Cricetulus griseus: one gene and its partner. The protein of the gene in region 1 binds, or shares a complex with, the protein of each later gene. Links are inferred from orthologs where the notes say so. Each region holds a gene or a part of one and is shown on either strand. Other genes may lie near its edges.

Region 1 (15,640 bases):
GGTTAGTGAGGAGGCGGTATGTAAATATGGGCAAAAGAAGATGCAAGGGCCCAGTGCTTGCTCTGAGGAGTGGGGGGCAGAGGCCTGGGGTAGGACCCTGGGGAGACCTGGAAGCCCAGAGGCCCAGTGCATAGAAGTAATTAGGCTCCTGAGTGGTAATTAGAAACCTTTCTGGGCCAGCAGTGGCAGCCTCAAGCCACAGTGTACCCTGGGGAGGAGGCTCCCCGTTAGCCTCCCCTTAACTCACCCCTACTGTTCCTAAACTGCCAGACAGGATTTCCGGTCTCGCTGAGCCCCAGTGAGTTGCTATAATTTGGTTCTTTAACATTTTTCAGTCATTACACTCAGGCCTCCTCTTAGGTCAGAGGCGCTAAAAGGCTGAGGGAGCCGGAGGGTGGGGGTAGGGCAGCGTGCCCCAGAGCCCAAGCCAGGCATCTTTCTCACCCCTGTTGCCCAGGTCTTCTGTGTAGTGGGGGTGCTGAGGGCCTGTCTGAACTGCTGGGATAGTGGGAGGCCTCCAGCCCTCTGCCTAGTATGTGCCTGGGTGACAGTGCTATCTGCCTGAGAGCCCTCTGCAGAACCAGGGGTGGGGCTGACTTTAGCTGCCAAACCAGCTCAGCTACTGGCAGGCTGCCCTCCTCAGGTGCTCTGCCCACTGCAGGGGGTGTGCCCAAGACTGCAACTTCACCTTTGCCCTGTCTGCTCTGTGACCTGTAGGAAATTTCCTTTGGCAGCCTTGATTGAATCCCTCAGAATTCGATGTAGGGTCTTAACGCTGGCCTGGTCTACTAGACACCCCTTTCCTAGGTCCTTTCTGTTCCCCTCACCACCTCCTGCAAACTTGGGGGTACCTATGGCACTGGAGTGCAATCCAAGGGGGCGGTTGGGAGAACATGCGATGCACATGCTTGACCTCCAAGTTATAGCCACAACCCTTGGTTTTCTGAGACACGGGCACACCTGGCTGATTGAGGAAGACAAGAGTTTGGAGTGTGTTTTGTTGGAATTCTCAGTACCCCAGTATAGGCTTAGCACAGAGGAGAGGCTGAGTTCTCAGACTTCTAAGCCTAGGGTCTCCTCAGCCTTTCCCACTCTGGCTCATCCTGTCCACCAGGTATGATGTGAGGCGCAAAGGATGGCTCCAGACACCCCAGCAGAGTGAGAAGGCAGAGAGGACTTTCCTGTTGCCACCACTGGTTCTCTCTCTCTTTCTCTCTCTCTCTCTCTCTCTCTCTCTCTCTCTCTCTCTCTGTGTGTGTGTGTGTGTGTGTGTGTGTGTGTGTGTGTGTGTGTGTGTGTGTGTGTGTGTGTCCATCTGCAGACAGTCCAGCTGTGTCCTATAGCAGGACCAGAGTCTCTGTGGGCCATAGCGCCAGTCCCCCTAGGTCTCTGGTACACTTCCCTTTTCAGTGGGTATTTTTAGCTGCGTGTAAACAGTTTCTGAAGGCTCCCACGCCCCATTAAGCAGTAGAGTTTTGGTGAGGGGGCAGGGCTGGAATCTTTTGACCTACCCTAACCCTCTGCACGTGCCTGGTTCTGGGGGTCTGCAGCTGCCTCTAGGGCAAGGAAAGGGCAGTCTGGAGTGTCTGGGCTCCTATTTTCCCCCACTTCTTGCCCTGTCCTGTACAGCCTGGGCTCCTAAGAAAGGCCTGCCTGAGGCTGCAGGCACTGACCTCAGCGCTTGGGCACAATGCCTAGCCTGTTCCCGGGACCCCAGCACAAGGGCTGCTGGGAGCAGGGTTTAGGGCAGGAAATCAGAGAGAAGCATTGGCCCTGCCACAGTCACAAGCCCCTGTCCTCTAGCCTTGTGGGGGTGGGTGACAGCTGCTGAGCCTTTGGGGTTAAATATAGTCCTATTGGTTGTAGGACCTAATGTGCTGTACTGGCCAGGCTTTTCCTATTCATTCATTCATTCATTCATTCATTCATTCATTCATTCATTACTCATTACTGAGAAGCAGCGCCCAGCCCAGCCCATGCTGGAGTTGCAGACATGAGTCAGATCCTAGCTCCTCTCTTTCACAGACACAAAGCTCCCCTTCCACCCTCAACCATAGGTCACTGCTAGTGAGGTCCTTTGCTGGAGCACGGTGGTGTGAGAGGGTGGTGTGAGAATCCGGACCAGCCAGCACAGCTGAAGAACCAAAGGACTCCTGGTGGGAGTGGCTTTCAAAAGTGGTATATTTTTTATTTTATTTTTAGGGAGAAAGTAATATAGATAGATGTTTATATCTTTAAAACAAAACCAGGGGCTGGGGATGTAGCTCAGTAGGGAGGTAGTGTTTTCCTGACCCACCTGAAGCCCTGGATAGACAGGAGGTTCAGAAATTTAAAGACATCCTTGCTCACATAGTGAGTTAGAGGTTAGTCTGGACTGCAGGAGTCTCAATATATATACAGAGTAAACAAGGTTTTCTTTAATTTGATCCATCCCAGGGGCCACCTCTGTTATTTGTCTGTCTCTCTTTTTGGGTGTATTTATTTACTTTATGTGTGTGTTTGCTTGCATGTATGTGTGTAATCATGAGCATGCCTGGTGCCCATGGAGTTCAGGAGAGGGTGTCAAATTCCCTGGAACTGAAGTTACAAACATTTATGATCTGCCATGTGGATGCTGAGAGCTGAACCCAGGTCCTCTGCAAGAGCTGCAATTGCTCTTAACTGCTGAGCCATCTCTCCAGCCTTCTCTGTGTCTCTCAGAAACTATTTAGGCACCTCCAAGCTTAGGAATGTGTATTCATTTGTGTAAAACACAACTTGTGAGCCAGGGAAATGGTGCTGCAGGTTAAGATGCCTCCACCAAGCTTGACCACCCAGGACCCACACAGTGGGAGGAGAGAACCAATTTCCACAAGTTGTCCTCTGACTTCCACATGTATATACATGCACATCAAATAAATAAAGTGTAATAAAAAAAATTAAAGCAAAACAGTTTATATCTGGGTGTGCTGGTGCGCGCCTATAATCCTGGCCCGGAGACTAAGGCAAGATGATCTTGGAATTTGAAATCTGTCTGGACTACATAGCAAGAACCTGCATCAAAAATCTAAAAACAGCTGGGCAGTGGTGGTACACACCTTTAATCCCAGCACTCAGGAGGCAGAGGCAGGAGGATCTCAGTAAGTCGAATACCAACCTTGTCTACATGGCAAATTCTAGGATAGCCAGGACTACATAGAAAGACCCTGTCTCAAAAAACAAAAGCAAACAGACAAAAATCTAAAAAATAACAACAGTCATAAAGCAAAACAAAAACCTCACCCACAACTGACAGTACACTGTAAGTCACCTGTATCTACATTTGCCTTTTTTGGCTTTGTTTCAAAATCACCAAAAAGTAGAAATAATATATTGGGTACTCATAGGTCTTTTGTCTATATTTACCTGTTCTTAACATTTTGCCACATCTATTTACCTCTTTTTGTTTTGTTTAAGATTTTATTTATTTATTATGTATACAACATTCTGCTTCCAGAAGAGGGCACCAAATCTCATAACAAATGGTTGTGAGCCACCATGTGGTTGCTAGGAATTGAACTCAGGACCTCTGGAAGAGAAGTCAGTGCTCTTAACCTCTGAGCCATCTCTCCAGCCCTTGTTTTGTTTTTTGAGACAGGGTTTCTCTGTAGCTTTGGAGCCCATCCTGGAACACACAGAGATCCTCCTGCCTCTGCCTCTGCCTCCCAAATGCTAGTTTAATTTTTTTTTTTTTTTTTTTTTTTTTTTGGTGTGTGTGTGTGTACTCATGTACACACACACACACACATCAAACATGGCACAGTGTATGTCCTGTGGGGGTCAGAGAACAACTTGTAGAGTTCATTCTCCTTCCAAGCATGGAACTCAAGCTGTCAGGTTTGTCTGCAAGTGTCTTTACCATTGAGCCATCTTGCCAGCCTTCCTTTGTTTTGTTTTGTTTTTATTGCATCACTGGGAGATTGGAACCTAGGGTGCCATGTGCATCACAAGTTGCTTTACTAACCTCTTTGGCTAGTTTTAGGCATCCTATCCCTTACTCTGGTGAGTTTGGTCTTTTAGTGTGTGTGTGTGTGTGTGTGTGTGTGTGTGTGTGTGTGTGTGTGTGTGTGTAGGGAGTTATGTAATTATGTTTGTGTTCATGTGTGAGTACACGTGTATGCACACATGTGAAAGCCAGAGGTCAACCATGGGTCATTCCTCAGGAGCTGTTTACTGTGTTCTTGAGGTAGGGTCTCTCACTGCATCCTGGGACTTGCTTGATAGGTTAGGCAGGCAAGCCAACCACTGCCTCTGCCTTCCCAGCATTGGGGTTACAAGCACGTGCCACCAACGTTGGACTTATGTGGGTGCTTGGGACCAAACACGGGTCTTCACAGCAAACACTTTACTCACTGAACTGTCTCTTTAGGTCCTTCTGTTTGTTCATTTGGTTTGTTTTCATTTTGGTATTTTGACAGTGTTTCTCTGTGTAACCCTGGCTGCCCTGGAACTTGCTTTGTAGACAAGGTTGCCCTGGAACTCACAGATCTGCCTGCCTCTGCCTCCCAAGTGCTGGGATTAAAGATGTTTTGTTTTTTAAGACAAGATCTCACTGTGTAGCCCAGTCTGGCTTCAGATGTGTAATCTCTCCCCATCTCTTGCCACCACAAAGAGGGGCTCCTATTGTATTTTGCTCTTTTGTTTGTACAACAGTAGCAGCCCCCATCTGTACCTCAAGGCTACACAAAGATTCCCTGGATGAAGGGAGAAGACAAGTAAGTGAGCAGAGTGCATGTGTCTGGGAATAGATGTGAGAAAAAGGGACAGATAAGGTGCTTAGAAGCCAGAACATATGGGAAGCTCCAGTGACTTCCCAAAGGTTGCACAGCAAGTTAGGGCCAGGACTCAGCGTCATTTCCTCCCAGGACTGTGGTCCTGCACTGCCTTCCTAGAGTGACTTGGCCCTAAATTCAGGTGATTCCCCCAAAGGACTATCTTCTGTGCTTACTCCCTGGCTACTTGGAAGGTGGCCTGCAGTAAGTAGCCTCTTGAAGCCACTCTGGCTGTCAGCCTCAGCCCTAGCTGGGACACTGCAGCTGCTCAGCCATCCTAGCCTGGTGACCTCACCGTAAGTGACAGGTTGGAAGGTGTCTGGTAAGACATGCTTCGAGGACAGCAGTGCCCCTCTAGGCAGCATACCTGACCATTGCTGCCTTGTCCCATCCCCTTAAGCACATCCTTGTCCCTGTGGCTGCTCTTCACCCTATCTGCCCCAGACTAGAGTAGTCCCAGACAGACAGCAGTTCCTGGGGATATAATGTGGTATGTGAGAAACAGGCTACCAGGAGGGAGTCCTGGCCAAGGAACTCAGGAGTCTGAAGGTGAATCTCACTGGAGCTGTGACCTCAGGCAAGGTCTCACAGTCCTCAGGGCTTCTCTTGGGGCCTCATCTGTATAATGGGGTTGGTAATAATAGCCCGTTTCTCAGTGTCATTAGGATTGGATGAGCCAAGGATAAGTCCTGCCACTGAGTAAGTGCTCAGAAAACAGGGCCTGTGATTATTTTTATTATTATCATCAAGGCAGCAGGGAGGTGGCACGGCGGCAGCTGCAGGCCAGGAAGGAGTGTTTGCAAACTGACAGCTGGAAGGGTGACTAACCATGCCCAGCCTCCGCTCCCTCCTGTGGTGGCAGCAGTGAGTTTTGAATTTGGGGAGGGAGGAGGAGGTGTGAAGAGCGGGTGAGCTAATATGATCTCCATAGAAGGGCCCTAAGGTTGGGGGCTCAGCAGCAGCAGTGGGACACTAGCTCACACTCAGGCAGGCTGTGTGGTCTTGGGTAACCTCTTGGACCTTGGTTTTCACTCCTGTCACAGGGAAGGAAGTCTCACAGCTCTCCCACAGCAGGTAGTCCACAAGGCCCAGGAGCTGGTTCTTATGCTTATGCTGGCTCAGTCATGGAAATATGGGGTGTGAGGGGGTGGTTCCTATCACACTCTCCCTGGGCTTCAGGGGCCCAGTCTAGACAGCAGGCTTAATGGGCTGCCCTTGCCTCTGGGTGCAAGAAGGACTATTTGTTCTGGAGGGAGCAGGAAGCATGCCAGACTTGTCCAATTCTGGGGTCTCATTCCATTCCCTCCATAGCCTCCTTGTCAAGGTCCAGTGTGTCCCCTTTCAGGACGAGGGGATATGAGGCCCAAAGAGTTGGTTCATTCTCTCCAGGTTGGCATGCTGATAAAGCCAGGTTCAAAGCCCAAGTCTGTCTAGCTTGGGAGTGCTGGTCAAACACCACCACCCCCCTATTACCAGCACATATCCTTCACCCTTGCTTCTGCTGAACTCTGGGAGCATGTGCTCCCCGAAAAGGTTCCCAGGGGCCAACCGTAGTCCTCCGAAGTTCCATGGGATCTCCTTGCCACCCTGCAGGGTTCATACCATGGCCTCTGGAACCCTTCTCATATAGCAGACAGACAAGAGTGCTCTGTATGGGCTCAGCAAGTTCAGGGTCACAGAGTCCCAAAGGGGCAGTTGGTTCCACTTTGCTTCACTAGCTTCCACTCAGGCCGGTTCTTATTTTTTTAATTTTTATGCCCATTGATGTTTTGTGTGCATGTGTCTGTGTGAGGGTGTCAGTACCCCTAGAACTGGAATTACAGTTTGAGCTGCTATGTGGGTTCTGGGAATTGAAACCCAGGTCTTCTGGAAGAGCAGCCAATGCTCTTAACCACTGAGCCATCTCTCCAGCTCCCCAGACCAGTTCTTGCAGCTGTGCCTACCTTCTACTCCAACACCTTGGCTAGGACTGGCTAATAAACTAAGCTTTTCTATGATCCTTTTTCTGGCCCATCCTCTTTTAAAAACAAGGTCTTAACCATGTAGCTCAGGCTGGCCTCCAACTAGGCATCCCTCTGCCTCACTATCTACCATCTGCTTTTCTAATAAATATCTTTTTATATCAATTTTTATTTGCTCAATTGCTCATGAATTTGAAACATAGACACCTTATGCTAGGGTTTGAACCCAGAGTCTTGAGCACTCTGAGCAACTACTATCCACTAAGATCAATCTCTGGCTCCCACCTTCTGAAGTCTTCCAGTGTTCAGGGCTCAGTTCTCATGATTCCTGCATATATGTGTACGTGCAGGTATGCATGCACATGCACACACATGTACCAGCACCTACACTGAAAGTCCTCTTCTAGCAGTGGTGTACATAGCCGCCATAAGTGCAATGGCTAGACCTCACCTCTCCCATCCCAAGTGCATCTGTCATCTAGCCCTGTGACCACAGAAAGGCCATTGGCTGTTCCCTCACCAGAAAGAGAACAGTAGCCCCACTCTGCCTGAGTCCTTCTGAGGTTATCTGAGGTCTGGGGCTGTATTTGGACTGAATGTGTTGGTGACATATATGTGTGTGTGTGTGTGTGTGTGTGTGAAGACATGCTTGCTGCTCTGGGGGAGTGTTCTGAGGAATTCCATTTACAAAAGTGCACATAAATCCAGAAGAGCACCAGCTCTCAGGCTACACCCAGCAAGTTTCTCTGGAGCAAACCCTCTCTTGCAAGGGGGCTCAGACAGCCCCCATAGCTGACACCTTGAAGCCCCCTCACACCCTGTCCAGTTCTTTCCTCTGCAGAGATTCATCCTGACAAGCCTGGATTGGTTTGATCCAGTTTTAAACTTGATACAAAGAGAATCACAAAGCTTGTGCTTCTCTGTGCCTAGCTCCTTGGTGAGAATCCAAGGCTGATAGGTGGCTGACATGGGCCATGCCACCGCTGTATGGAATTCCATCTTGTGACTTCTCCCTATTTTATCCACTTCATTTTCAGTACCTGGGCAGTTAGCTCTTGGTCTGAGATTTACTACAGAGCACACCATGAGAGAGCACCTACCCCTCTCCTGGAGGACATGGGCTACTTTCTTTTGGGTGTGTGCCAAGAAATAAGCACAGATATTTGTCTATACAGTCTCTGGGACAAGCCTGTGACCTTGTCTAACAAGTGACTTTCCTGGACCACTCATCACCTGCCTGGTTTCAGAGTTTCCCTAGACTCCCTTTCCCTGACAATCCTCAAGGCCTCCCTGGGACTCTTGAGTCTGTGTGCTTCTACCCAAGGCTAGATAGAACAGCCCTGGAGCCGGGCGTTGGTGGTGCATGCCTTTAATCACTGCACTCGGGAGGCAGGGGCAGGCGGATCTCTGTGAGTTTGAGGCCATCCTGGTCTACAGAGCAAGTTCCAGGACAGACTCCAAAACAATTCAGAGAAACCCTATTGGGGGGGGGGGGCAGCCCTGGATCCATGTACCAACTCTCAGAAGCTTTGGCACTGTGGCTTGTACTGCCTTGAAGGAACTGATGATCACCCACAGAGGGTGGGGTCGTCTCTTCTCAGCCTTCCTCAGCTTGTCTCCTCTCCCACAGCTCTAATGGTACCAAGTAACGGATTGGCCTTCCTGTAGCACGGGGACGCCAGATCTAAGAAGATGTCGGCAATACAGGTACCATGGGGTTGTGGTGGGGACAGATGAGGCAATCCCACATCTGGAAAAAGAGTGGGTGCTTAGACCAGCCTATTCCCCATTCCCAACCCTCCATGCTAGTCAAGACTTTGAAGCAACGGTAATTCCAGTGTGCTCTATTGGGCACAGGGCCCCAGACTGGGCTGCAGAGCAATTTGAGCTGGAAGGGACTGGGCATTCTCTTACCCCAAACTCATGGATATCAGCTAAGATGCTTTGGTCTCAAGGGCATTCGGGCAGAGGGGTAGAGAAGGGCCCCAGGCAGCACCCCCATACCTGTCCCTTACCTTGTAGGCCGCCTGGCCATCCGGTACAGAATGTATTGCCAAGTACAACTTCCATGGCACTGCTGAGCAAGACCTGCCCTTCTGCAAAGGAGACGTGCTCACCATTGTGGCGGTCACTAAGGTACTGTGGACCTTAGATGCCTATCCCATTCTTTCACCTCCAGGGATTCCCTCTGGGTTTGGCTCCCCAGCAGAGGGAGGTAGACCTGAGAGTGTGTCTGGTTGCCCTCTCTCCAGGACCCAAACTGGTACAAAGCCAAAAACAAAGTGGGCCGTGAGGGCATCATCCCAGCCAACTATGTCCAGAAGCGTGAGGGTGTGAAGGCAGGCACCAAACTCAGCCTTATGCCGTGAGTACCAGGAGGAGGGCTGGAGTCTCCTGGTTTGGGGAGAAGAGAGGAAAACAACCCTGAGTAAGAGGCGTTGTAGGAATGGAACAAGAGGTTGCACCTAACAGAGGGAATAGGCACCCAGCAGAAGAAAAGGGGACAGGGAGAAGATGGTGCCCTGGCTGATTGGAAGCAGTGGGAAAGCGCATGTGGGGGGCTGGCAGGAGGCACTGGGGTCAGTGCCATTGTGACCCCCAGCCTTGCCACCCCCTAGCTGGTTCCATGGCAAAATCACACGGGAGCAGGCCGAGCGGCTTCTCTACCCACCAGAGACGGGCCTGTTCCTGGTGAGGGAAAGCACCAACTACCCTGGGGACTACACACTGTGTGTGAGCTGTGAAGGCAAGGTGGAACACTACCGCATCATGTACCATGCGAGCAAGTTGAGCATCGATGAGGAGGTGTACTTCGAGAACCTCATGCAGCTGGTGGAGGTGAGTAGGGGTGCTCCCCCTTCTGCCCACACTCAGACACACCTGAGTCCACCTGAGGACATTTCACACAAACCCAGCACCAAGTCACCTGGCAGAGTAACCTGGACACGTTGACAGCACACCCCAGTGGAGCACCTGCTATGTGCCAGGGCCCATAGTACCCCAACAAGGGCCCGTTTTATAGATAAGGACACAAAGTTCTGATCAGTGAAAGTCTCTCCTCTCTCTGTACGTTGGAGGTGCCACTAGACTTTGAGGCTATCTGATCCAGAACTCAATTCCTCTTCCACTCGAACCTCCTCGTGTGTGTGCCCTGGCCACCAGGGTCCTTCAGGCCTTTGCACACCCACAGGTCCTTGCAGCTTCCGACACCAGCTCTGTCAGCTCTGACCAGGCCATACTTGGCAACAGAAAACTGTAGGTTCCCTCCAAGCTCACTCTCATCCTGTCTCTGGTTTACATTGGCCGAGGACACCTGGCTGGAGGCTGGTGCAGGGAGCAGGCCAGGCTTTGCTGTTTACCTTAAGATGCTGGTCAGGCCCACAGCAGTAGTGACAATTGGGAGTCCAGTAGCTGATGTGGGTGGGGTGACACAGGAAATGGACAGGCATTCCCACCCTTTTGAAATGAGGAACCTTTCACACAAAGCAGCTGGAGGCTTCGTGAACTGGCCTCTGCTGCCCCCTGGTGGTCAGACCTGAGCAGCCCGTGAGTCTATGAAAAATGGGGCCAGCGGGTCTGGTTCTGAGGGCCTGCCCTCCCCCTCTCTCTGCAGCACTACACCACAGATGCCGATGGACTCTGCACTCGCCTCATCAAACCAAAGGTCATGGAGGGCACAGTGGCCGCCCAAGATGAATTCTACCGCAGTAAGTACACTAACTACATTTCCACTGGCCTACCCTGGTGGTTTGGAGACATCAGACATCCCACATCTAAAGCAGTTTGGCCTGTGCCTGCCATCTCAAACGGCCTCAACTCTCTGTTCACCTCACTGACACACTGCTTTTCTGCCCCCACCCCACAGGTGGCTGGGCCCTGAACATGAAGGAACTGAAGCTGCTACAGACGATTGGGAAGGGGGAGTTTGGAGGTAAGTTGAGGGAGCCCCGGGAGGGTCTGAGAAGCTTCGGGTGTCCAGGAAACCGCATCCCTCCCTTCTTCCTCCAGACGTGATGCTGGGTGATTATCGGGGCAACAAAGTTGCAGTTAAATGCATTAAGAATGATGCCACTGCCCAGGCCTTCCTGGCTGAAGCCTCTGTCATGACGTAAGTTGAGACAAGCATAAGGGCAGGTTGCCTGGGGCCTGGGTGGAACGGGGGAGGCTGGCTGACTGAACTCTGAACTCTGGCTGACTACTCTGTCCCGCCTTGTCCAGGCAACTTCGGCACAGCAACCTGGTCCAGCTACTGGGTGTGATTGTGGAGGAGAAGGGTGGGCTCTACATTGTCACAGAGTACATGGCCAAGGTGGGTTCTCCTCAGCCTCACCTCTCCCTCCTCCCAGCCCCTCCACTTTGTCCCCACTGAGCTTTGAAGTTGCCAATCCTGGCCAGTCACTTACTTACTGAGGGACAAGTCGTGCCCTCTCCAAGCCACTGTTTCCTAAGTGTTCTGGATGTCCCCTGTTCCCTTTCCTCACGTCCCTTTCTGCCCTGCCCCCCCAGGGGAGTTTGGTGGACTATCTTCGATCACGTGGTCGTTCGGTGCTAGGCGGAGACTGTCTCCTCAAATTCTCACTGTGAGTGATGCAGCCTGGGGTGGGACTAAGAACTTGAAGGAGACCCCTGCCCTGCTATGGGAGCCCCAGTCTGAGGGGCATGTGGCTGTCCTGTCCTCAGAGACGTCTGTGAGGCCATGGAATACCTGGAAGGCAACAATTTTGTACATCGGGACTTGGCTGCCCGGAATGTGCTGGTGTCCGAGGACAACGTGGCCAAAGTCAGTGACTTTGGCCTCACCAAGGAAGCCTCCAGCACTCAGGACACAGGCAAACTGCCCGTCAAGTGGACAGCTCCGGAAGCCTTGAGAGAGAAGGTGAGCAAGGGTCCTAGAGTCATTATCCCCTCTCCTGAGCTTCCTAAAATCAAGGCTGATTATCTTATGCACATGGCAGAAATTTTCCACCAAGTCTGATGTGTGGAGTTTCGGAATCCTTCTCTGGGAAATCTATTCCTTTGGGCGAGTGCCTTACCCAAGAATTGTGAGTATGGGTCTGGGAGCCAGTGCGTTGCTGAAAGTGATGGCGGGTGGCAAGAGTAGCATCCATTGGTAACTGCCTCGTACCTCGGGTCTGTCCGGCCTGAGGCAGGGCTGAAGGCCCTTCCTAGAGAGGGAATGTGGGTAGGGCTCCCTTCTCTTGTAAGGCACCAAACTCATGCCACCTGCTCACAGCCCCTGAAGGACGTCGTCCCTCGGGTGGAAAAGGGCTATAAGATGGATGCCCCGGACGGCTGCCCGCCCGCAGTCTACGAGGTTATGAAGAACTGCTGGCACCTGGATGCTGCCACACGGCCCACCTTCCTGCAGCTTCGAGAGCAGCTGGAGCACATCAGAACCCATGAGCTGCACCTGTGACCTCTGCCTCCGCCTAGGCCCTGGGCCTGTAAGGACAAGGCCTAGAAGATCACAGATCTGGTGCCTGCTGCCCACTGGGCCTGAACTTGAACTGAGCCCCAGTGGGCTGGTAGGCCTCCTGCCTCTGACCTGCCTGTCCCTTCTGGCCCCCCAGGGACCCCACCTAGGCCTGGCATCTCTTATGGACCCACCCACCTATAGGGCTTGGGGCACTCACTGAAGGGGCTAAGGAGGGAGGAGGACAAGGAGCGGGAGGCAGTGCCCCCACTGTGGTCAGCCTTCTCTTGGCCTCCCATCACTCGCCTTCTTAGAGTTTTATTCCTTTCCTTTTTTGAGATTTTTTTCCGTGTGTTTATTTTTTATTATTTTTCAACATAAGGAGAAAGAAAGTACCCAGCAAATGGGCATTTTACAAGAAGTACGAATCTTATTTTTCCTGTCCTGCCCCTGGGGGTCGGGGAGGAATCAGCCTCTCTCTAGGGACCGATCACCCCAGCCTGTTCCCCATCCCGTGTTCCATGTCCAGTGTTGCCTCGGTCGCCTCTGTTTGCGCTTGACCATGTTGCACTGTTTGCATGTGCCCGAGGCAGGCGTCTGTGCTGTGGCCGCTCACCCACCGCCTTGTGAGTTGGAATCGTAATAAACCACTCCCATGAGGACACCGCCACCCAGCCTCGGCGCTTTCTCCGCCGAGCCTTCCTGTCTGCACAGTCGTCTTCCCATGCCATCTTGTCCATCCCCCCTGTCTCTGTGAGTGGGGCTGAGAGGGAAGCATGGCTAGAAGATGTAGCCGCCTCTTTGTGTCAGCTGCACGAGCCAGTGTCCTGTGTCTGCCCATGGGGGAGTGCTCACCGCCTGTCCATTCCTATCAGCTACCACCTGAGCCCAGCACCTGGGCAGCCTTGGGCTCTGAGACCAGTCCATGGGATGCTGCCTGGGAATTCTGGCTGCTTCTCCTGCCATGCTGTCCAGGCCGGAAGCACAAAGAATTGGAAGTCCAGGCCTGCCCAGATGGGGATGTGGCCCTGGGGCAAGAGCCCAGATAAAGAGCCTCAGAAGATACTGACCTCAAGGGTGACGGAAGGGGAGCTGCTGGGGATTCTCACATTTCATCTAACATGTGACAGCTTTGCTTTTCCTCACCCTACTGTGTGCCAAGCCCTGGCTTTCCTGGGCTTTGCATGGATTCAGGCACCTTCCTTATGCCCCAACTGGGGTAGACAAATGGAGAATGAGAACCAGCTTGGGCTTTTCTTCCCCCCAAGTTGTGCAAGGGCGGTAGAACCCTGGTGGGTAGGAGAGACTTGATTCAGTAGAGATAAGTAGGGAGGTTCCCCTTATCCCATCATGGTCCTGGCCCTCCTCCTCCAGCCTGCAGGACCTTAGACCAACGAGTTTTGGCTTGAAGCATGTCTTCTGTGTACCTCCCCAGGCCCACTGTGTTCCAGTCCCTCCCAATGCAACAACTTTCCCCACTAAGCTGCCCTTTGCACACCCTTCAGGCTGATTTTTGTGAAAAGCAGACAGATTAGTCATTCAACTGCAAATGTCCAAATACCTGCTGAGGGTAGACTGCTGGATGCTTCTGGCAGGTAGCAGAGTGGACCCTGTGGAGTTCATGGTTGAGAGGACAGTTAGTTACACACAGATAATGACAGGCTCTTCTGTTGTAAAGGAACACCCAACAGGAGAGTATCATAGATCAAGAAGTGGCATCCATGCTGAGTTCAGGATGGGTGCAAACATAGGTGGGGCTAGTAGCACCCCAGGGAGAGGAGACCCTAGTAAGGGAGGCTTGTCCAGGAGCTCTGAGAAGGTGGGTGACAATAACCAGTGGACAGCACCAGGAGATAAGAGATGGGGCTAGGTAGGGAAGGTTGTGGCCTACATGTGTTTCTTACCAAGGCAAGAGTTACTGTAATTCAGTGACATGTTTGGGGCATCAGAGACATGTCAAGTAATGCCATTCTAAAGTAATCACCCCAGGTCCCAGTGGGGAAGTGTGAGAATAGAGTAAAGATGATAAGAGGTAGTCGATGTATCAGTAAAACTTAGCAATGGGGTCAGCATGCTCCACAGGGAAGGAAAGGGAGAAGCCAGACGCCTCTGACTCTCCCTGATGGGTGTGTGTGTGAGCTAGGCAGCTACCAACAGAGAGGACCAGAAGAGACCATCACAGGTTCTACTGAGCTCAAGCATTCTGAGTTGAGTGCTTTTGAAACTGCCAAGAGGTGGGGGATTGATAAAGCATAGGCTGGAGAAGGAAACTGAGAGCTGTCGTGAATGGATTGAACCTAAAGGATGAGGTCCATATGGTAGGAAAGGGCAAAGATGAAGCCGAGGGGGGCTCTAAGAACAGGTCAGGAAGAAGTTCACACACCTGCAAACCCAGCACTCAAGAACAGGTCAAGAAGTTGTTCACATGCCTACAAACCCAGCACTCTTGAGGCAGGAAGATTATGAGTTAGATAGAGGCCAACCTGGGCTACTTGTTGAGACACCATCTTTTAAAAAATTAAAAATTGCTTCTGCAAGGCATTGAGATTAGGAGGGAGCAGGGAGGGAATGTTACTGAGGTCCAGGCAGAGGTCTTCTACAGGTGGAAGCCACTGGGACCTGCCTCCCAGAGGGCATGGAGATGGACACTGTTTTTGCCCCCAGGTCCAAGGAAACTGCCCTAGTAACTTCTGTGTTTGGCCAGGCCCATACCAGGAAAATGTATCTGACTGGAAGGAGAGGGGATGGGGGCAGAGGGAGTGGGAGTTCAGAGGCTTCAGCAAGTTTGGTTGTCTGAGGGAAGAACATTGGGTAGCATCTAAGTTCTGAGGGAAAGACAAGCTACTGAGAAGGCATAGTAGGAGTTGGGGTGGGAGTGGAGCTTTCCTTGGAGTTGGTCTCTCTGAAACTGCAGAGGAGGAAGACACACACCGAAGTCCTGGTGAATGTGTAATGACCAGATTGAAACCAGATATACACAGCTGTAACCCCAGCACTTTTGGGGGTGAGGGGGCAGGGGGATTAGGAGTTCAAAACCACCTTGGCTACATAAAGAGTTCTAGACCAGCCATGGTTGTAAAGTGAGACCCTGTCTTGGGAAAAAACAAAACAAGCAGAGTGGGTGGGAGCTGACTGTAAATGTTTACTGATATCTAAATCATAAATACTGTGGCTGATTTCAGAACACCGCCTGCTATGCCCAGCCATCTCCTGTTTAGAAGCCTGCAGTAGAGCCTTGTGGAGGAGCAGGCCCAGCTCCCAGGACCCTGAGTCAAAGCAGGCACAGGTAGCTGAACCCCCAGTCTCAGGGTCCCAGGCCTGTTTGTCCTTCAGTTTCTCTCCCTTTTCTTGCCCCCTGCCTCTAGCTCCCTTCTCTTCATTTCCTTTCCCTCCCCATTTATATTTTTATTAGACTTTTGAAGGTTTTTATTTTGTTTTGTTTTTATCTGGATAAAGTCCTAGAGACTGAGTCTAGG
Region 2 (14,862 bases), on another chromosome or scaffold:
AAGCAGATGACTCACATAAGATTTACTGTCTCTCTGCTCTAGAGTGTACAGTACAGTCTAGAGTGTACATTCTTGGTGTTGTTACATTAGGTTCTTCCAGAGTTGGATCTGTTCCCAAGCTCAGTTCCTTAGTTCACACCCGCTTCTTGCCTCCACCTTCCCACGGCCTTCCCCTTTATCCCTCCTGTTACCTTTCTCTCTCTGAATGTCTGTCCTTAGGGCCAAGTCCCCTGCTTTCAAAAAGACACCAAACATATGAGACTAAAACTCACCTGACTCTAATATAACCTCATTCTTAAATAGTGTCATTTGTAGTGGCTCGGTTTTCAGATAAAGTTACGGCACCGGGGACTAAGATTTTGACATATATTTGGGAGGAAATACAACCATTCACCGGGGCCTGGGGCCCCCAGCTGAGTCTAGCCTTGCTGCCTTCCCAATCCTTGGCATTTGATGGAATCTCAGTGGGCCCAATAGACTCATGGATCCACCCACCTGCGTGAGGATCTGTCTGAGGGTGTCACATTTGTCTGTCCTTTGACTCAAGTTGTGCTCTTAGGTGGTAGTGAAGCCTCAGCAGCTGTACCCACAGGGCTACGTTGAGTCCCCCACCCCCACCCCCACCCCCACCCCCTGAGCCCCAGGGCAGTGCTAGGAGAGAAGTTGCTTCCTGCTCAGAGCAAGAAGAATCACATATGCATCAAACTCCATGGGATCCAGCATTATTTGCACCCAGCAGATATGTTCAGAGCCCATGCAAGAGGCACTGACTACCTGAACTCCCACTTCCCAATGTGCCTTGGCCCAAGCAGGCAGGAAGCTGCCAGGATTCCTGTCCTGGCTCCTAGACCCCAGGGCACTCTGTCTTCTGTGTGAGATCACTATCCTCACCCATCACAGCTGTCCTGACCCTCAGCATCTCCTATCCCTTGACTGATTTTTCTCACCATTTTCACATCTTATGTTGTCCCCACTTCTTTGTTCCCAGTTTCTCCATTCTCTCCCAATAGTTACTAGTGTGGTGGGGGAACACAGTAGAAGGATGGGTCCCTGTCTTTCTTCACCAACCACTTTCCTCGCAGCCAGTGGATAGTGAGTTGTGGCTGAGACGAGGCATGTACCTCTACCCTCATTTCCTCCTAGAATGAGGTTTCTAAGCTAAGGCTGGACCATTACTAATTGCACCACCTGGGAGCTGGTAGGAAGCCAGTGTTCCAGGGATGGAACCAAGCCTCCAAATTGCTCTGATGCAGGCACCAATGTGAATGCCATCATTCTTGATCTGTCCCTGCTGTTCTGACTGAGGTCAACAGCCTTTGGGAAGTGCAGTGGGTAAGCAGAGGAAGAAAGCTGAGTCTTCATTTTCTTCTTTACATAGGATCCCCTCCACATACGTTCATAACACGGCTGTGTCTCCAAGAGTGTGCAGTCACAAGGATGTATGCTTACACTGATAGCAAGGCCTGAACTCACACTGTTGCCCACTTAGCTCCTGCATTTCCTAAATCATTCACAGTTTGCAGATTTGTTTCTCATAGAAACTAAGGTGTGAAATAGTAGTTGAGACATGGATTATGGAAGTTTGGCCATGACAGGTTCTATGGGAGGCCTTCCCTTGATCCCCAGTCCTGTGCCCTAAGGACACTGTTTCTATAGTATGAACATCTAGATCATACAGTAGCAGATGTGAGCTGCATTGGCCCAATAGAGCAGACTTCCTAGACACTTGGACATTGCTGCACATCAAAGGCCATTTTCTGTGAGTTATTTGATTTCCCATCAGAGTCAGAAAGTTTGTGAGGCCAACTACCCAAGACTTCTGTGTAGAATACATCAGAATTTCCCATGTGATATCCTGGAACCTAGTCTGTGTCTTGGGCAGCAGAAGCTATGAATATGCCTATTTGGGTTGCTCTGTGTGAACAGTTGAGTGCTGGAAGAGGTGCTTCAAGGAGCAGTTTGTTTCTGCATGTCCCTTGTGACACCTCCACCTCCAACAGCTGTCCTGTTGTTCCTGGCACTGTCTACACACCACCATCATCCCAGAGACACACTCTCTTCCCAAGTGCCTATGTGTCTTTGAGGATAGGGAAGGTTTGCAAAGCAATTTTCCAGTAAATGATCATTTTAGTAACGCCTAAAGCCAGAGACTAGCTCTGAAATAGACTCAGAAAAATGCATGCCATTAAATACTGGGCTGGCCAGATTTAAGGTTCTTCTATCCAGATACAGCAGTGATACTTTGCTGTTTGTTTGGCAACACCTGTGTTACAAGGATGGTGTTGGTCCCTGTTAGTGACTGTTCTGACCCACACAAGAATTTGTGGTCTCCTTTTGCCTTGAGCTAAGGAAACACATGTACCTGTAGTCCACTTGGAACCCCAATGAGATGTGCTGCCTGGAGCCCTGGAAGAGTCCCAGTGCCCCTTCAGAGTCCAGAACCGCATCTTCAGAAATAAGCTTAGCAGTTCTCCATTGGTGAAAATGGTCCCCACTTGACACCTGAGTGTGGCTAAGTCTATGGAACTGGATAACTCACCTAATTTAATCCATTGATTCTCGGATTTGCTTTTGGCTGCTTTGATTTTAGGGTACCCAGCAGATTCTTACCCAAAATTGTGTTTGGATTTTTCAGCCTTCGGACAAGGAGATGTTCAGCCACTCTGCAACCAGTCTGACAACAGATGCACTGGCCAGCAGTGAGCAGAATGGGGTGCTCAGCAATGGTGACAGTAAGTTCTGCAGAGATGCCACCGTGGAACACTAGGTTTCCAGTCAGGTAGATCTCAGGGCTGAGTTGATGACTCAGTGGTCAAGAGCACTGCTGCTCTCCCAGAGGACTTGAGTTTGATTCCCAGCACCCACATGGCTGGCAGCTCACCACGGACTATTACTGCAGTTCCAGGGGATCCGATGCCCTCCCTCTTCTCGTCTCCACGGACACTAGGCATGCAAATGATGCACAAACATACATGCAGACAGAACACCATACATACACCCATAACAATGAATTCTTAGCCCCCTGGATCTAACATTCTTCAGGTTCCCATGGTCCCCACCGTGTTGTATTTCTTGTCTTGGTTTGTTGGTGGTGTTAGGGGTTCTGTTTTGTTGGTTAGGTTCAGGGCCTTAGGAGACCCTCCCAGCTGGTCCAATGTCTCTAATCTCCCTATAATGAGGTCCACTTGGGTAAGAACTTGTTGGTGATTTGAGCACCCTGAGAGAATTCTGTTCTGCTCACCTCGGGTCTCTACCTTGTTAACCGTCTCTGGCATCTAGCAAACACTCAGAATCCATGTGATAAGGACTTACTGCCATGGTCATGGTTACCATTTTAGAGGCAGTCTAAGGACATCCTGGTTGGACTTCTTATGTGAGGCAAGGATGTGAGCTGAGGCACACTGGAAACAAGGCACAGTCTGGCCTTTTGTGATCCTGGCCTAAAGGTTCATCATTGATGCTCAACTTCTGTTATGTCTGCCAAAGGAAAGTGACCTGTGAAGTGGGGCAGGGTGGGAAGATCACCTACTCCCTCCATAGAGGCAGAGGCCAATTAGACTACGGTAACAATGCCCCATTGTTAGTATCTTGCAGTCCCATGGGTTGTCAACTGTTTTCTGTACTGGGGGTGTAATCCAGGGCCTTATGTGTGCTAGACAAGCACTATCACTGTGTTACAGCCACAGCCTCCTTTACTTTTATTTGAGATAAGTTACCCAGCCTAGTCTTGAATTCAGTCTTCCTGCCTCAGCTTCTTTAAGCAGTTGGCCCCACCTGGACTGTCAAGCCCTCTGCCTATATGGGTAACAATAAGTAATGAAATGAACCATGAGTCAAAGTATAGCTAGCCCACATCATTTATTAATCTTGTACTGGGAAAGGTACAATGGATAGCTTCCCTTTCAATGCAATGGAATAGGAATATGCATTGACGTCACAGTTTGCAGCTGAGCATCAGATGAAAACGGGGTTGATGGTCTAACATAGTGGTCCCCTGCGCTGGTTATTAAGAGGTTGTCTAACACCCCCTCCCGCTTCAGTTCTTTCAGAAGACAGCACCTTGACCTGCATGCAGCATTATGAGGAAGTTCAGACCTCAGCTTCAGATCTTCTGGACTCCCAGGACAGCACAGGAAAGCCCAAGAGTCACCAGAGCCGAGAGCTGCCCAGGATCCCCCCTGAGAATGCCGTGGACGCGATGCTCACAGCCAGGGTTGTGGAGGCGGACTCGGGGCCCGGCATGGAGGGGCCCTACGAGGTGCTCAAGGATAGCTCCTCCCAGGAGAACATGGTGGAGGACTGCCTGTACGAAACTGTAAAGGAAATCAAGGAGGTGACGGACAAAGGCCAGAATGGCAAGTCCAAATCCACTTCTGCCTTGAAGGAGCTTCAGCGGCCCCACACAGAGGGCAAAGCCGACTTTGCGGAATATGCCTCTGTGGACAGGAACAAAAAGTGCCGCCAAAGCATGAACGCGGAGAGCATTCTGGGAACTTCCAGTGACCTGGAAGAGGAAGCCCCACCACCTGTTCCGGTTAAACTTCTGGATGAGAACGCAAACCTTCCAGAGAAAGGAGAGAGCGAGGTGGAAGAGCCAGCTCCAGAGGGGACCAGTGGACACAGCAAGGTGGGCTTTTGTCCTGATGAGAAGGTCTCAGGTCCTGGGAGATATATATAATACTAGCAGGTTCATGAAATGATGAGAAGTGACATGGGCTACTGTAAGCTGTGCTTGGCCTTTTCACCCTCTAAGTCTTAGATTGCTGAAGATTGATGTTTACAAAACATTTCTCTCTGAATTTCTCATTTGGGTAGTTCCCAACATTTATATTATATGTAATTAGACCAATATTATTGTCTTCATTTTGAAGACTAAGAACTAAGTAGGCAGGATTCTTTGCTGCACAGCTTCCCTCCTCTGTGTGTGTGGCTTCCTCGAGCAGCATGGTAACCTTGAAATTTTCTGAATCCCATAACCTAGAGTTCAGTGTCTGTCCTGATGGCAGGTGTCCAGATGGCAGGTGTCCCTGCTTGCAACTTATTGTGTATTTTCCTCCAAGTCAACTAACATGTCTTTTCCACTAGTGTATATGCAATATTTTTAAGTAATTTCTAAAAAGTCCAGTCAGCAGAGGTCTAAATTCCATCAGCAGTCCACAGCTTGTGGTGCTGATGGTGCGGGTATCTCACAGCAACTGAGCCATGGTGAGCCTCACACTGGATGTCCTCACCATTTAAGTGGGCCTGTTCTGCTTCTGTCTGTCAGCTACTGTAGATTCCTATTATCTACACAGAAAAAAATGCCAAATTATCTTCCAGTCCTAGCTTTACCTCCCACCCTTTGCAAGGAGGACTGCTGATGGTCACCCCTCTATGGCTACACTGGTTATAGTATGAAGTCATTCTTTGCACTAATCTGAATTTGTTCCAACTTTTTATGCTATCTTGAAATGAGTTGTTGTAAGCACCTTGAAAGTATTTACAAACATGTTCGTAAACTGCAGTACAGTCTAAAGCTTCCACCCTTCACATAACCAAAGACAAGGAAGCCAAGGTAAGCTTACACTGCCTACACTAGCTAAAGCTTCTTCTTAGTAAACATTTGGAAGACAAAAGGGTTGGTTTTCTATTGTTAACAAGCAGGTCTCCAGATTTCACATTAAAAACTGGAAATCCACATCTAAGATCAAATATCCTTCACATCGTAGAGTGAGTAATCCTCTCCCATGTAAATAATCCCAATTTTAAGTGAATTACGAACTTCAAATGTTTAATATTCAAAAAAGATTTTTTATGGAGTATCTACTACCTGCCATATGGTCTCCTAGATGTTATTCTCCAGTGAACAAAACATAAATGAATGAAAATCCCAGGTCATGTGGAATATATGCTTAAATGAGAAAGATAGATACAGATTAAAGGGAAAAAAAATAAGATTGGGAGTGAGTGGGGTGGGGAGAGAGTTGTTAGCTTCTGTCTCAATGTGAAGTTAATCTTTAGCAGAGTTAGGGAGTGACTGAGAAAGCTGTACAGGTGCTCTTCCGGCACCTGTTGATCTCTAGGAAGCCCCTAAGCTAGATCAGTGGCTGGTGTGTGCATGGAGAGCTGGGGTAGTGAGCAGAGATGGGTGAAGACGAGTGCAGTATGCAGACAGGTACCTGGGTGGGAACTTATGGCCTGGGTTTATTGTCTGCATGAAACCAGCAGAACACAACAGTGCTATCTATGCTTTGTAAGCTTTCCCCCACTCTAATAAGTAGAGCCAAGTAGGACAGAGGCAGCAGAAGTGATTAGCCAAGGGCTGAGTGAGGGCTGGCACAGTCAGTGGGCACAAGGAACCATATGAATCAAGATAGAGTATCCCAGGGGGATGTGAGCTGGGGCAGGCCTCAGCCCTCTGCATTTTAATAATGTGTCGCTAGAGATCAGGACTGTCCCCAATGCTGACACACCTTAGGGCAGCTGGGGATATGCATGGGCTAAGAGGGAAGGCTGGCACTGGAGTCACACAGTTTTAGAACGAGCAGCAAAACTGTTTAAAAACATGGGATTGGATGAGTGTGTACTAGGGCCAGGAGAGTCCCAAGAACAGGGATCTAGGGGTTGGGGGGCAGCAGGAGAAACCAAAATACGAACAAAAAACAGTGAAGAGGACAGGAGTTACTAGAGACTGGGTAGAAGAAGTATCTGGGAAGGAAGGGGACACCTGAGTTGACATAGAATAGTCATCATTCTGATGTGGCCATCATTTGGGACCAAGATGAATAGTTCCTCAGACCAGTGAAGGTGCAAACTCAGATGAAGTGGCTTCAAAGAGGAAAGTTACCCAAGGCTTTGCTGTATGGCAGTGAGAGAAGGATGGAACTGGCAGTACCCTTGTTTGTTCTGTTTTAGTGTCTAGTGTGCTTATGTATAGATGGATTAGCCCCACCAAGGGAGAAAATCTGGTGAAGGAGACAGAATAGGAGAGAGGCAGAATAGCACTCACATGCAGTGTGTACAGGATCCAGTGTGCAGGAGGGACGACTGGGAGCAAGACATGTCAAGCAAGTTCATGTATGGCAGCCAGGAGGGGACAGAAGGCCACCAGGGCTGCTGGGGCAGGGTAGAGTTCAGAGAAATATATTTGCATCTTTGAGTTTTCTCAGAGAATCCAGAAGCAAGGCCATCCTTCAGTGACTGAGATGGTGCTGTGGTGGGCAGGTGGGGACATGTTGAGTCTTTGGAGGAAGAGGAGACGATACCAAGTCAATGGGCCTGTAAAGAAGAGCAAATGCGGGATGTCTTCATGATGTGGCCTAAGACACAGAGCCACTCTGAGGGCCCAGCCATTGTCTCAGCAGCAGGGAAGGGACCTGAGCTTCCCTAGTTGTTATGATGACTGACTACAGATAGAGTAATACTTGGTGAAGCAGGAAGGAGAGATACCAGAGGGGCAGTGGAATAGACAGTTGCATCACAACTAAGTGTTGATGAATCACTGGAATCGGTATTAAAAAGAAGAGTTTGAATGACAAATGCTGGTCTGAAGGGGTTTCTAGGAGCTGGGGTGGTGGAGGACAGAGAGGGCCCAGGTAACTAAAGGCCTGGTGTGGTGAAGAGACACTGGGGATGGTGAAGTAGACTGTCAGTGTGGGAAAGAGAGGGTTGGGATGGGTATGACTTTTGTTGGAATCAAGAATTGAAATAAGAAGTATATTAGAATTAGTTAATAAGCCAGAGCCAAAGTCACAGAAGAACCAGGAGTGAAAATCATTGAGAAACAGGCAGGAGAGGAGGTTGTGAGATCTGTGGGTGTTTTTCCTGGTGACACCAGATACCAGCAGGTTCTCAGATGTGACATGCTGGCATGTTGTATAGAAGGGCCAGCTTTACTATCACCCTCCCCCACTACTGTCAGCCCTTCCTCAGTGATGATTAGGAACCAAAATGAGATGGTTTTTAAAATCACTGGCTTATTTCCACCTGTACATAGAACTATTAGAAGACCTCTGTATAGCAGCAATGTGGCTGGGTAGCCTTTAGTGTGCCAACAGCTGATGTAAGAGATACATAATTGCCTGTGGTCTGTAGAGATCACCCGAACACATTGGTATAGACATGGATGTATATGTGTAGAAGAAAGGTTAAACCATCGGCTTCAAACTGCTTTACTTTGATTTGCATTTTTTTTTTTGACAGAGATTTAGTTCCTTGTCATACAAGTCTCGGGAAGAAGACCCAACTCTTACAGAAGAGGAGGTAAGTTTCAATTCTTTACCAAAACAAAAAAAAAACAAAAACAAAAACAAAAAAAACCCGCCTTTTAAAAATAAAGACATCAGCGGGGTGGAGAGATGGTTTGGCAGCTAAGAGCATGTACTGCTCTTGCCTAGGAGTTCAGTTACCACAACCCACTCTGGGCAGCTCACACCCACCTGTCTCAACAGCTCCAAGGGATCCAGTGCCTCCCAGTACCTCTGAGAGCAGCCACAGCACCTGCACTCACACATGCACTTGCTTGCAAACTTTTTTTAAATAAAACTTATTAATAAAGGAACTTTAGTCTATAACCCTAGACACCATAAATCCAATGTGGTTGCAGATAGCTACAATCATGGCTTATGGGAGGTAGAAGCAAGAAGATCAGGAATTCAAGGCCAGCCTCATGAGATCTCTCTCTATATATAGATAGATAGATAGATAGATAGATAGATAGATAGATAGATAGATAGAGATATAGTTATAGATATAGATATATAGATATAGATATAGATATTTGTCACACACACACACACACACACACACTCACACTCTCATGGAGTGTTGTCTTAGTTAGGGCTTCTATTTCTGTGCTAAAACACTGTAACCACAAGCAATTTGGGGAGGAAAGGGTCTGTTTCAGCTTACAAGTCTCAGGTCATACTCCATCACTGAAGGAAGTTAGGGCAGAAACTTATAGGCAGAAACTGAAGCTGGGGCCATGGGGTAATGTACTGACTTGCTCCTCATAGCGTGCTTTCTTATACAATCCAGTGTCACGTGCAGGAGTAGGTTTTGCAGAGTGAAGGACACTAGGTAGGAGGAAGGGTTGTACAGACATGAAGAGGAGGAAGAACTAGGGTCAGAAAGGGGAAAGTGAGTTTTAGTCAACAGCTGAGGGTCCACCCTTGAAGGAAATCGGTGTTGGGATGAGTAGGAGGAGGGAATTTGATTCTACCTGAAAGATGGGGAAAATGTCCATGAGGAATGTTGGATGCTGGTTGCTTCAGGAAAGATTAATCAGGCTAAGATAACATGACTTGAAGCAACCAGTGAAAACAGATGGTGATTTTCCAAGAACCAGGATAAAAATTGAGGAGACTTTTAGTAGTGCCTTCCAAATGTAGAAGCCACGATTATGACACACATGGAACTAGGTTCAGACAGAGCGCCAGACACCGTCCCTACTCTAGCTGTACACTGCTGGAGTGGAATGCCCAGTGTGGGAACTTTGTCCTCGTGAAGACCACACACATAGGCAGAGAGCTCTTGAGTGCAGTGCTGGAAGATGAAGGCCCCTGCAAGTTCCTTTTCCTAAGGAAGGGAAACTTTCATCTATCTCTCTCCCCAGCTACACAAGGCAAAACCTAGGAGTCATCTTTGATTCTGGTTGCCTCCCTATCCCAGGTGCTGCGAGGTAGCCTTCTCATTCTCACGCCTCCATCTCTGGAGCACCCCTCACCAGCCCATGCACCCCCCTTCTACCAAGTCCCTTGTGAGTCCTTGGCCTCCCTCTAGTCAGCTTTCTACTAGCCACAGTAGCTCTATCTGGTCCCGTGAGAAACCCACAAAACTGGGTTTATAGAGTTAATCAAATATGAGTGATCTCTAGAAAAGAAGATAGTTTGATTATTCTCTAGTAAAATATTAGACATGGATGACATAATTGATGACATCTTTGTCATCAGTAACTCTGGGGCAGGGAGTGTTCATGAGTGCCAAGTTCGTAGCCTATCACCAAGAAGAGGAGGAAGGAATCAGCCCGCAGGTGGCATGTTCATTTCTCATTGTCCCCTAGATCTCAGCGATGTATTCCTCAGTGAATAAACCCGGACAGTCAGCACACAAACCTGGACAATCTCCGAAAGGACCAGAGTTTGCCTGCCCCTCCATGCAGGGACCCCCTCAGAGGTCACCCTCTTCCTGTAATGACCTCTATGCCACTGTGAAAGACTTCGACAAATCTCCCAACAGCATCAGCACACTCCCGCCAGCAAGGAGGTCCAGCGAGGAACCCGAGCCTGACTATGAGGCCATACAGACTCTAAACAGAGAGGAAGAGAAGGTCCCTCTGGAGACCAATGGCCACCTTGTCCCCAAGGAGAATGACTACGAGAGCATTGGGGACTTGCAGCAATGCAGAGATATCACCAGGCTCTAGAATCCCAGAAAGTAGTCCCCAAGAGCCTTGCACAGCAGGGGACAGCTCTGCCTGGGATAAGAAGACATCCATCTCAGGCTGCTTCAGTTAACTGAAGTCAAGTACAGGTTCACATCTGTTCCCCAGTTTCTGAAACAGTAAGGTACAGACTCACTTGTCATGGCAGGACCTCATGCTCACAAGAAACCTCTGGTGCATGTGACCACCACATGCCACAAGGAAGGCAGGCTGTGAGGGGAAGCTCCACCCACCAATGCTGAAATTCCATCTGCCTGGAATTTTGGTGTGGACCAGCCAGGGTTTTCTTCCTCACTCTCCTTTTCTTTGTCTGCTACTAGTGCTAAAATACCTGGCATTTCACCATGTGAGACCTCCCCATGTCTGTGGTTCATTCTAAGGACTGTCTCCCACAGGCTTGGCGCTAGTCTTCAGCTAGATATTATGATGGTGAGAAACAGGCACTGGTTCCCATTAGACCACCCCCTTCCCAGACCAGCTGTGTTGGTCCCTGGGAATGTGCACAGTGCAGGCTACTATGTTTGGGGTGGGGTGTCTCTGGGGTCTTTGCTCCTATTTTGACATGGCAGTCTTTTCACAAGGTACTTTAGACACTTTTTATATTTTTCTGTTCAAAATCTTCCCCCCCACAGTATTCAGACATTTGTCAAAGCTGTTTTGCATTCCCAGTGACTACTATGGTACTTCTGAAGTTGTTTAAACCCAGCGCTCTTCCTTCCAGAGCCTTAATGTTTAAGTTGGGACCTGGGCCACATGTGTGGATGGCAGCTGTGGTGTCTATCCCCAAAGGGCTGCGGACATTAATTTGTGTTTCCAGTGATCTCTGCTGCCCACATGTGTGACTTTCCTGTTATCTGATGGTAATCTAAGAGTAAAATGTAAACATTTATTTTATTATATAAATTTATAAGATGTTTTATGTTTCATGCCTAATTTCTAGAAAATGCCAGAAAATATATATTAACTATTTTGATTTTATGTACAATGATTTATACTCTCAATTTGAAAAGACACCATAAAGCACATAAGCTAGATAATTTTGAGTGATTTTTTTTCTTTTCTTTTCTCTAACAAGTAATGTAACATTGAAGATTTGTAAAGACTCAGCTCTCAAAAAGGTATTTGGGAGCTCAAGATCCCAAACTCTCAGACTGCTGGTGGCAAAAATGCAGTAGGCATAAAATAATCATGTCAACGGTTGTGATGGACACTACTGAAATAGTGTTGAAAACAGAACAAAATCTGACTTAGGAATTTTGAACTCCCTGAAAGTAGCAGACTTGCATTAAAGTCCATTGGCATCTTTAAGACATCAGTACTTGCCAATACAAATTGCCTGCTAGACTTTTTTCTTTCATATAACAAAAGTCTGAAGTAGCTCAGATTACAAATTCAGTCTGGTTTGAATTTAATCATCTCTCTAGATCTTCCAAGGCCAACATTGGAAAGCATGTTCACTTTTCACTGATTCAGACAAAGAGAGGCCGTTCCCCCTCCTGCCGTGACATCTGATTCTAATGACTTAATAATCATGCTGTTTTCCCTCCTTGTGACAAAGAGTGTGACTGAGAAGATGAAGTGACCGGTCAGCTGTGGCCTGTGTTTCCATCCCTGTTATTCACGAACTGTTTTTTGTCTCTGCTGTGTACCATGCTTGTGGAACTGTAAACTCAACTCTCTTAGGTGGTGTCAATCAGCCCAGTCCACCCATGAAGATGCCACATGGATAAGCATAACCACTGCCGATCAGAAGGTGACAAGCAGGGTACCCCTGGCCCCAGGAGCAGCAGAGGGCAAGGATCTTCTGCAAACACTGACTTCCACCACTATGTATTAATGAGTTTGACCCAGGTCACAGGGGTCCCTTTAGCACATGGTGCTACCCATGACACAGCACTCCCAGCCTTGTGCTTGCCACAGTGCCATTCTTCACGGGCACCTAACACCTCCGAAGTTTGATTGTGTTTTATAAAAAGTTTTAACTTAGCAGGGAAGCTGGGATGAGTGCAGGAGTATAAAACTCTTTAGAGACAAGTTCATTATAAATAATCATGTCGTTTTGAAACCTTGTTGTCAAAATGTCCCCAGAGTTTTCAAATATAGTATGCAGCATAGTCATAAAATATGCACTGAAATCGCTCTCCTGGCTTGAGAACCAGTGAACAAGTTGTGACAGATGATATCTTGAGTACTTTACAAGGAACTGGAAGGCCCTCCGACACAAATTCCAGAAGAATAAGCAATAGCTTGTGAGGACTGGAGGAGGAGCGGGGAAGGAAAACAGCTTGCTCAGCTGAGCTTCAGGTACATAATTATTGTATATTGGTGTGTTGTCATTGTTTAACTTGATTATCCAGGGTTCTTTCATTTTATTTCATTTTGTTATAACTTTTTACTCATTTACTTGGTTCAAAATCTATGTTCCTGTCTGAGCTGGACAGAGCCTGTGGTTTGTTTTAAAGTCTTAACCTAAATGTGACAGAGTTTAAATGTATGAAAGGAATAATCAAAGCAGACTGCACCGTATACAGAAACATTCACCGCTGGCATCCACAGTGTGCATCCAGTCATATCCAGCCCATGTGGAATTATCCACAAAGAGAAAAATAAATCACCTGGCATCTGCAGTGTGCCTCATACCCAGCTCGTGTGAAACTATCCACAAAGAGAACAATAAATCATAAGGCTTTTCTCTTTAAGTCAGAATTATAATTCTATCTAGATTAGAAGTAGTTGTTTCCTTTTCCTTAAATACCTTTAAAAGTCTGAAAGCATTTAATGCTCCTTTACATACTTCCCAAATGTAAATCATGAGAAAAGCATAGACTGTCTTCCGTGAAATGTTCAAGAAATTCTAAATGAAAGTCATTTTTATAAATATGTTGGCTGCATAGTTTTGACTTAACCTTATCTAAATCATACCATTAAGTCTGTAAAACTTCTAAATAATACCAATAATCTTTGTGAGAAAAAGTTTCATGATTGTTCTACAGTAAATTCAACAGAATTGGATTCTCCCACAGTAAATTCTAATTAAATGCTAAATAGCAATAGGCCATCAACACATAACTAAAATCTCACCCAGCATGCCAGGGTGCTGCTCTTACTTGATTTTCACCTGTATGATTAGAACATTCCCTGTCTTCACATGTGATAAACTATATGTATACGTGTGTATGTATGTACATATGTATGTCTTGTGTGTTGCTGGCACAGCCCTGACACTAATTAGGATGTGCTCTATCACATATCTGGAGAGTTTATCCCACTAGTGTGATGAGCTTGTGTCATAACAGCAGAATTAAGCCATTCTCCATCAGTTTCATTTGGTAATTATGGGATGCCTTCCTGGGCTGCTTTCATTTAGTTTTCTCAATGAATACATTCAGATTTTAAATTGTGTTCATAATTCTCCCAGTTGAAAAACAATGCTGTCTGAAGATGCCTTTGTTATACTTGAGACTCGGTGCATATTCAGTCTGAGAAAAGGAATGGAAACAGGTGCACTACTCAGTGTATGTCAAGGAAGAGAGAAAGCCAAAAGCAACAAAAGAGGAACCCCGAGCCTGGCTGGCAGGCAAGGTGACCTCCCAGGTAACTGAGGCCAGTTATCACATGGGGAGGGCGGGGGTCTGTTTTATTCCTTGTTAAAACTTAAGCACTTGCAGCAGGACCAGTGGATAATGGAAAATGTATGTACAAAGCCTGTCTTGTGACAGTGCAGTGGCTGATTCCAGACTGAAGCAGGATTTTGTCAATGGGTAAATGACACTGATCCCAGTGCTCCTTGCGATGGAGGATAGGAATCCCTGTGATATAGGGTACCATTCTTCTAAAGTGTTGGTCTCTGGCACACAGACAGCTTAGAGCTGGCTGCTGGAGTCCCAGTCTGTATTGAGGGTTGTTTCCTGGAAACCCTGACAGGTCTATTATCCCGTGCCAAGGGGACATTGAAAGTGTAATGGTTGGTGTTATTGAGTGGCCAATGTGACAATAGGAACATGTGTGGACCAACCAAAGTGGGTTTATTTATTAGTATCTGCATCCTCCCTCCTTTCTGGGACCTGTGTCTGTTCCTCAGGGCATTATTCCTGACAGGGCATCAAGCAAGCTGAAAACACTACTGCAAGGACTTCACATTATGAAATCAGCACAGAACACAGGAAAATTATCATTTTTATCTGGAATTAGGAAAAAATGTTAAAAATCATGGTCCAGAAGAGAAAGAACATCTGCATGGTTTTTTAAATCCTATTTTTGCTCATTTTCAAGCCTTTTTTACTTTTGTTTTTTACATTTTATCTCTAAATATTTGTGTTTTATTGTTTTTTTTCAAGTTTTTTTTAAACTTAACTGAGAAATATTTGTTCAGATCTTAATATCAGGTGAAATTGGAAGTACAATCTTGTTTAAAATGTAATATTAAAGATCATTCCACTTAG

The links.
Region 2: the proteins of Csk (region 1) and Pag1 are in contact, whole or in part, in an NMR structure (PDB 2RSY), measured with the Rattus norvegicus proteins. The link is inferred for Cricetulus griseus from reciprocal best matches to the Homo sapiens genes CSK and PAG1. Residues at the interface, in NP_001025210.1 of Rattus norvegicus: Thr88, Arg89, Glu93, Arg107, Ser109, Thr110, Asn111, Tyr112, Thr117, Cys122, Glu123, Lys125, Val126, Glu127, His128, Tyr129, Arg130, Ile140, Asp141, Tyr156, Asp161, Gly162; in NP_071589.1 of Rattus norvegicus: Phe291, Ser292, Leu294, Tyr296, Lys297, Ser298, Arg299, Glu300, Glu301, Leu305, Ile310, Met313, Tyr314, Ser315, Ser316, Val317, Asn318, Lys319.

Annotation. Positions count from the first base shown.
Region 1 is NC_048597.1:169,253,342-169,268,981, reverse strand, and holds Csk (tyrosine-protein kinase CSK), read left to right. Parts: upstream 1-8,381; 5' UTR 8,382-8,443; coding exon 8,444-8,458; intron 8,459-8,773; coding exon 8,774-8,887; intron 8,888-9,003; coding exon 9,004-9,116; intron 9,117-9,369; coding exon 9,370-9,589; intron 9,590-10,364; coding exon 10,365-10,458; intron 10,459-10,616; coding exon 10,617-10,682; intron 10,683-10,759; coding exon 10,760-10,859; intron 10,860-10,969; coding exon 10,970-11,060; intron 11,061-11,257; coding exon 11,258-11,331; intron 11,332-11,431; coding exon 11,432-11,627; intron 11,628-11,706; coding exon 11,707-11,793; intron 11,794-11,984; coding exon 11,985-12,167; 3' UTR 12,168-12,834; downstream 12,835-15,640. UniProt on the Homo sapiens protein: Non-receptor tyrosine-protein kinase that plays an important role in the regulation of cell growth, differentiation, migration and immune response.
Region 2 is NC_048595.1:138,156,014-138,170,875, forward strand, and holds part of Pag1 (phosphoprotein associated with glycosphingolipid-enriched microdomains 1), read left to right. Parts: intron 1-2,635; coding exon 2,636-2,732; intron 2,733-4,040; coding exon 4,041-4,627; intron 4,628-8,181; coding exon 8,182-8,241; intron 8,242-10,039; coding exon 10,040-10,402; 3' UTR 10,403-14,862. UniProt on the Homo sapiens protein: Negatively regulates TCR (T-cell antigen receptor)-mediated signaling in T-cells and FCER1 (high affinity immunoglobulin epsilon receptor)-mediated signaling in mast cells.